Kluyveromyces lactis: one gene and its partner. The protein of the gene in region 1 purifies or fractionates together with the protein of each later gene. This does not show direct contact. Links are inferred from orthologs where the notes say so. Each region holds a gene or a part of one and is shown on either strand. Other genes may lie near its edges.

Region 1 (4,229 bases):
CCATATGCATTTCTATCCACCATTGCTAAGATCGGCCACTGTGAGAAAGTTCTTAGTAGGGTTCGAGTTATTAGGACAACCACAAAGAGATTTGACTGCTGAACAAGCAGCAGATAGACTCAAAGCCCTAAGTGGTGAAGTACATTATTTAGCAAAACTTGAGCAGGAAGAAAGCAAAACTTGAGCAGGCAAAGCAGAAAATATCCGTATAGGAAAACTTATTTACAAGTTATACTCACATAAAATTTCCAAACTTAGTCACATTCGTAAGCTTTTAGATCCTACCTAACGTTACTTAAAATTCATATTCTAATATTGAATGCTGAACGACAGGATCTTCGTTGTCTAGAACAGAAATGATGTCTTCTTTAATTTCTGGTTCTGGAATGGACTCACTCGAATGATGATAAAGTATCAACAATGATGGCAAGGTTTTGCCATATGTGCATGTTACAAATTGTACCTTATCGCCAGATTCTGACAACAGATCAGGGAATTCCTTTTCTATACCCTTAATGGCGACTTTCTTGGCTATGACATCATGTGGATAAGAGTCTTTTGTGTTCTCTAAAAGCACCAATGCCATACTTGCTGCAACAGAATCTTTACCATTTAACTTAACATATTTTGTGAGTGCGCCCAGAGCCAAAGCTAGCTTACCAGTTCTCAAATGGAATTCAAATTCCAGCAAATGTCTTCTCGTATCATCAGTGGTTTGGGATAAATATAGTTTCAAAAATTGATTCTCGAATAATTCCAAAGGATTTGGATCATTGAGTAAAGTTTCACCAAATGGATCCTTGTCATCAAGGTAGGCAAGATACTTGGCCTTTTCTTCTTCCTTCTTTTTATTCAAAGCAGCAGCTTCTTTTTTGGCCTTTTTGTTGGTCTTCTTCTTGATAGAACTGTCATCATGCTCTTGTTCAACTGATGCAGTTAGTTGCAAAGAATCAAATCTTCCGAAAATTATCCTTGAAGCACCTTCCATAGCCCTAATAAACATAGGCAAAGTATAGAGGTGGTTTCCCCATTCAAGCATATTCACGTAGGCTCTTGGTGTCCCTTTTCTCATACAATAGGAGTGGAAATCTAATTGATCATCCTCAAATTGCTTGTAAATCTTAGGAATTGCCATATAACGTTTTAAAGAAAGGCCCTCAAACTTATTAACATTGAATTCCAATTCTTTTAGAAGTTTTCCATGAGATTCTATCTCATCAACGGTAAGTGCAGTTATATCTTTATTCTTCAAGCCGATTAATTCCTTGCAAGATTTTTTATACAATCTGAAGAAGCTCTCAGCTTGTTCGATAATGAACCAAGAGGCTTCTAGGAGGTGTAAATCTGGTACACCATTTGGAGATTGGTCGTTTTTGGTAAACAATGACACGATCTTAGTAGCCTCATCAATTTTATCAGCTCTTAACATGTATTTTACAGTCTTTGCATTAATAAATCTATCTTGCAGGTCAAGTTCGCGACCTTTATCAATAACTTCTGAAGCTTCTTCCAATAGCCCCAAATGCTTCAGGACTCTGGACTTGAGAATATATACCTCAACAAGAGTTGGAGTGTGGTTCATTGCTTTGTCAGCATATGCATTAGCCTGCTCGAACTGCTTTCTATGCAAATAATGTAGAGCCAAAAAGTAAGTTGTCCAAACAAATTGGATTGGTTGATCAGTCGATGATAGCTCAGCATAATAAGGTAATACAATACTTTCAACAATATCCGGAATACCTTCCTTCTTGTAAAGAGGTTTGATGTTATTGAATGTGGCTGGAACACCGCGATTTAACTGCGTTATGATATAATCATTGAGTTTCGCGGTTAATTCTACCTTATCTTTGAGGAATGTGAGCGGAATGAATTTAGGAGGCTCCGATTTAGGGTAAAATATAGCCAACTTTTCATATAAAGCTTTCCTCAACTTCTCATTTCCTTGAATTCCAAGTGAAACTTCCAATAGCCTGTAATATCTGAAATTGTCTGGACTTCTCTTAATCAAAGTTCTGTACACAATAGAGGCTTCCTTAGACCGACCAAGTTTCATTAAAATAGAAGCTTTCCTCTCTAACCAGCCATATCTATCATAAACATCGTCGGAAATCTTTTCCAAATGCTCTAAAACTCTTTCCAAGGATTCTTTATCGTTGCCTGCCTTCTTGTACAAAAGATCATTCTTGTACATGATACATTCGTTGTTCTCATACATTTCTGGTTCACCCAACTTGCCTTCAGCAAGCTCTTCAAATGTCGAAAGAGTATTGATTGCGTCTTGCGTACGCCCATTCAAATCTTGTGCTATGGCCAATGAGGTCCAATTGGCACGATATCCTCTGTAGTTTTCCCAGTACTTTTTTCTCGATTCCAGCGCGCCTTTGAAATCATGAATTTGAGATTGCAATGTCGCCAAATCTCTATAGATTTGAGTGTTTGTAGAACCATTTTCTAATGCGGCCTTGAACCACTTTACAGCGTCTGAGTAATTTTTCACCTGTCTGTAATAAATTCCTAATAAGTGTCCACCAATTGGACTTACAAGAGTGCCTTTAATTTTGGATAACGCTTTATCAATGTAACTAGCAGCTTCTTCAGGTGTACTACAGAATTGCAAGTTCAATCCCTTCAAAATTATAGAGTCCACATGACTGCTGTTCTTCTTCAAGATTGTGTCCAAGATCTTCAACGACTTCTTGTAATTTTTACCTTCATATAGTTGCAGTGCTTCCAACATATTGCTGTCATCCTTAGACCTACCAATTGGAAGTCCCACTTTCCCGTGAGATAGTCCCTTTTTTTTATACATGCTAGTGTAGATCAATGGGTCGCTGAGTGTAGATAAGCAAGCCAGTAAGAGTGTTTCTCCATTTATTCAGTCATGAATATGATTGTTGAACTTGATAATTTTCATGATTTAGACGTTGACTATTGTAAATTTTTCAGTTTAGAGATACATTGAAAATGAAATGTTTGGGTTTGAACGAACTGAAGGTAATAGTTAGCAAGCGGAGCTGGTACGATTCAAGGAGTTTATTACTCACCTACTGCAATAAAGTTAAAACATGTTGCAATCCAATGATACTTTTGATATAGTTACATACTCACATTTACAAATATTTTACGTAATTAAAGGGAAACAGCTGACACTTTTGAAACGTAGGGTTTCTAACGAGTTAATGTAAAGATCAAAAACGGAAGTCAGGCTCTTCTTCCACTTTCTGTTTTTTATGTAAGACATTATCATCGTCCTTCTCCTCTACGCTTGTTGATCGTTTGTTCGTAATATTGTAAGAGGTAGTGGAACTGATTATTGTAGATCCGTCGACTTCGTTTGATTTAGCTTCCGTTAGAACAGTAAATAAGGGTCTATTTTCATCATAGTGCTGGTTGACTACAGAGCCTCCATCAATTGGCACTAAGCCTGAATTATTGTTTTCATGTGTCTCGCTTTCTGTTTTTGTTGCTTCCGCTTCATTGGCGTCTGAAGACACCTCATCGTCGGAAATTGATTCGTTCAACGGATCTGGATCAATATGTGCGTCTTGATCTTCTAATTCTTCAAATGAGAACATGGCTCCGAATAAGTTTTGTTTGGGTATTCTCAAAGTATCTTCAGGGTAGTATCCGTATTGTGTACCGGTAAGATTAGAGATTTCCCAATTTATTCCACAGACTTTCATACCAGGGTATGATTTGGGTAGTCCTAATCTATTCATTTCATGACACCAAGGCGGGAGCATCCCCTCCGTGAGATTTAATGCCTCCCTTAAAGTTTCCGATAGATACCCTGGTCTATATCGTGTCTTTATTTGTTTCCATTCGAGTTCACTATCCAAACTTCTGTTTTCATAATATAAATCACCAAATGACAATAGTTCAGGTTTCCAATTCTTTCCCAAAGTGAAAAATGCTTCGTACAACCTTTTATAATCTAGATCTAATACACCTAGCTTGGGTTGAACTTTTGCTCTGGTAATATCCTTCAATTTCTCTGCTTGCTTTTCGTTTCCAGAGGGAACAGTCTCTCGCATCGTTTCAATATCGGTTTGTCTAATAATCTCAGGTAATTGAAATGGCTTCCTTTCCATCATTGATCGTCCAGATAAATAACCTCTTTTCATTTGCCAATGTCTGGGGATCCCCACTGTATTATGTGTTGTCTTTATAGCTGCATTGAAATAAGGCCATTGCGCATCGCAGTCAAACCATTCGATGAGTTCCGGATA
Region 2 (3,430 bases), on another chromosome or scaffold:
GGTCAATTGGTTTGTGTTCGCTCAATGACTCCAAAATAGTGATTCTTGCCCATTCTGTACATTCGTTCAACACGTTCAAAAACCTCTTAACGTTTTGAGATACTAATTTCTTGATATCTATTGAACCAGGGTCCAATTCGTTAATTTCGTGCAGTGCGGCAAGCGCGTTGGCAACAACCATTGGATTATCGTCAGACAAAGCGTCTTGCAAATCGTTCAATACGCCCAATTCACGGCATAGGTCCGGGTTCAATTGGAACAATTTTGCAACGCATAGTACCGCGGTTCTTCTCACGTACGGATTATCATCGACTAGAGTCTTTCTTAGCGGAATCTCAATGTATTCCAAGATCTTATCAACTCTGATCATCGACATGGTACGGATTGCCATAGACCTAATCAATGGGTTCGGATCAGCTGCATCGCTGACGAATGTGTTCACGACAAGGATGCATAACTCCGGATGAGTTTCTGCATAATTAGCCACGTAAAGGTATACCAATTTCTTCTGTTCAATGTCTTGAGTGGCTATATTCTTCAAAACGTCGGGAAACAAAGATGAAACATCTTTGCCGGAAGTCATCTGTTGAATAATCTTACGGATCGCGTCCTTTCGGGTCTGTGGGTACTGAGATACTAATCCATTTCGTAGTTCAAACAATTCACCTTTATTGGAAATCTTAGGAGCCACTCGTATGGCGTCTCTTAAGAACTTCTTGATCTTCTTATCAACACCCATTGTTTCCCTTGGTATTTATGAGAAAGCAGAGCAAGCAATTGGCTGGAGGAAGGAAGACTAATCGCTTGGGGACAGAGTCTTGAATATAAACAGGTTCATCTATTTATATACAGATTCCAGTTAATTTGATTGATGTTTTCTATGAATACTGGAAAGTGAAAGCTTGCTGGCGAGGTCACGTGTGTGCTCACGTGTATCGGAAGATTCCGTAACCCGGACATCATATGATGTCCGGGTTACGGTATTGAGAGATCTCACTTCCTAATAAGAATGGTTACTACCTGATTAGGGAAATTGCTAAGGGAGATTCACACTTCTGCGTAAATTCTTACGCACCGCAGTGTGGTGTACTGATATACCCGACTTTTTATAAAAACACAGTCCTCAGAGTTGCCAGACCAAAAGATACGCGCGACACCCTTACACCATTCAGCGTACCACTCAGCACGCACCACGCACATTGAAAAAAAATTCTTTTCTAGCCAAAGCTCATCACTTGAATATTGAGAAAGTATTAAGAACTTGATATAACTTGCAAGAGTTTACTGCATTAGTATTAAGCTATCAGTTCTTGTTGATTGAAATTGTTATCTATTCTCTTCTTTTGATTCATCAGAACAACACATCTCAAGGAATTAACTGAAAAGAAATGTCTTCCAGCAATATTATGCTTGTTTTGAGAGGTACCCTAGAAGGTCACAACGGCTGGGTCACCTCTTTGTCTACCTCTGCTGCTCAACCAAACTTGTTGGTTTCTGGTTCCAGAGATAAGACTTTGATCTCCTGGAGATTGACCGAAAACGAACAACAATTCGGTGTCCCAGTTAGATCTTACAAGGGTCACTCTCACATCGTTCAAGATGTTGTTGTCTCTGCTGACGGTAACTACGCCGTTTCTGCTTCTTGGGATAAGACCTTGAGATTGTGGAACTTGGCTACTGGTAACTCTGAAGCTAGATTTGTTGGTCACACCGGTGATGTTTTGTCCGTTGCCATTGATGCTAACTCTTCTAAGATTATCTCTGCTTCCAGAGATAAGACCATCAGAGTTTGGAACACTGTCGGTGACTGTGCCTACGTCTTGTTGGGTCACACCGACTGGGTTACCAAGGTCAGAGTTGCTCCAAAGAACTTGGAAGACGGTGAAGTCGATGACGGTAGAATCACTTTCGTTTCTGCTGGTATGGACAAGATCGTTAGAGTATGTGCCAGACTTTTTTCTTTTATTGCATTGCATTGCATTGCCTATCTCCCGATTAGATTGATTTACCTTGGAATTCAGGTCCTCAGTTGTTTCCCCGTAATATATTCTCAAAATACATGGCTCAATTCACTATACTATGACAAATGATGTTTCTTATATTTGCTACTTCAGACGTAACCTTACATGGTTTCGAATGAGACATACTAATTATCACCAAGATCTCTGATGTCTTTTTAATTAGTGAATTAAAATTTTGAATTGAGTTTTGTGCATTTGAATATCATGGAGCGAGCAATTTGGGCCTGTATTCCCAGATATATCTCATGGCTTTGAACCAAATATCATTTTTACTAACAATATTTTGGGAATTATCTTCCATTCCCCTTATTAACTACAGTCCTGGTCTTTGAACGAAGACTCTTACAGAATCGAAGCTGATTTCATCGGTCACAACAACTACATCAACGTTGTTCAACCATCCCCAGATGGATCTCTAGCTGCTTCTGCTGGTAAGGACGGTCAAATCTACGTCTGGAACTTGAAGCACAAGAGCGCCTTCATGAACTTCGACGCTAAGGACGAAGTCTTTGCTTTGGCCTTCTCTCCATCCAGATTCTGGTTGACCGCTGCTACTGCTTCTGGTATCAAGATCTACGACTTGGAAAACGAAGTCTTGATCGACGAATTGAAGCCAGAATTTGCTGGTTACACCAAGGCTCAAGACCCACACGCCGTTTCTTTGGCTTGGTCTGCTGATGGTCAAACTTTGTTCGCCGGTTACACCGACAACGTCATCAGAGTTTGGCAAGTCATGACCGCCAACTAAGTTGTAGCAATTTAAAATCTCTTAATTTTGCTTTTATTCCCTACAATTTATTCTTGGTCGTCGTCATTACCAATAAATCATAACATAAATCCCTTATGTATATATTAGTTATACAAAAACTTACATTATAATATTAGATCTCCCCTCGGTTAATCTGTCTTATAAGAGTTCCGATATTGTTATCTTAGCTTATTATTATGTTTTCAATGGTTTCTACCTATACATGCATAATATGCATTTCGGTTAGGCAAAACCGTGGCACAGGGCTATTCCAAGGGCAACCCGGTACCTTAGCTTCCCTTTCTTCATATCACCCTTTCTTTCTCTCTCTTCCTGGCGAAAACGCAGAAACTCGTACTCTATCTATAATGGCAATTCTATTTACTTTTTGAACTTTTACCGTTCACTTTAAACCTCTTTGCAAAATATTCCGTTTCAATTAAAATTTTTCATATTAACAAACTTAAACTTACATTAGCTTAGGTTGGACTGGACTTGGTTCTTCTACTGCTCATATTGTTTTTGTGTATTCAGATTATATTTGCTACTGTAAATTGTAAATTGTAAATTAAACCATTTGTTTCTTTGTTCGTTTTAAAAGGTACAAGAATATCACTCTAATATTTACAGGACAGATCATATCCAAAAATTATGTCATCTT

Evidence for each region. The genes of interacting proteins can lie anywhere in the genome.
Region 2: the proteins of NAT1 (region 1) and ASC1 purify together in Saccharomyces cerevisiae (affinity purification with mass spectrometry; 4 studies listed by BioGRID). This does not show direct contact. The link is inferred for Kluyveromyces lactis from reciprocal best matches to the Saccharomyces cerevisiae genes NAT1 and ASC1.

The regions. Positions count from the first base shown.
Region 1 is NC_006042.1:787,671-791,899, forward strand, and holds NAT1 (peptide alpha-N-acetyltransferase complex A subunit NAT1), read right to left. Parts: upstream 2,810-4,229; coding exon 296-2,809; downstream 1-295. Other genes in the region: GAL7 (UDP-glucose:hexose-1-phosphate uridylyltransferase), read left to right, coding at 1-184; U2 snRNP complex subunit CUS1, read right to left, coding at 3,189-4,229. UniProt on the Saccharomyces cerevisiae protein: Non-catalytic component of the NatA N-terminal acetyltransferase, which catalyzes acetylation of proteins beginning with Met-Ser, Met-Gly and Met-Ala.
Region 2 is NC_006041.1:1,085,390-1,088,819, forward strand, and holds ASC1 (40S ribosomal protein RACK1), read left to right. Parts: upstream 1-1,388; coding exon 1,389-1,940; intron 1,941-2,081; exon of another isoform or gene 2,082-2,173; intron 2,174-2,340; coding exon 2,341-2,769; downstream 2,770-3,430. Other genes in the region: APL2 (Apl2p), read right to left, coding at 1-739; HEK2 (Hek2p), read left to right, coding at 3,421-3,430. UniProt on the Saccharomyces cerevisiae protein: Component of the ribosome, a large ribonucleoprotein complex responsible for the synthesis of proteins in the cell.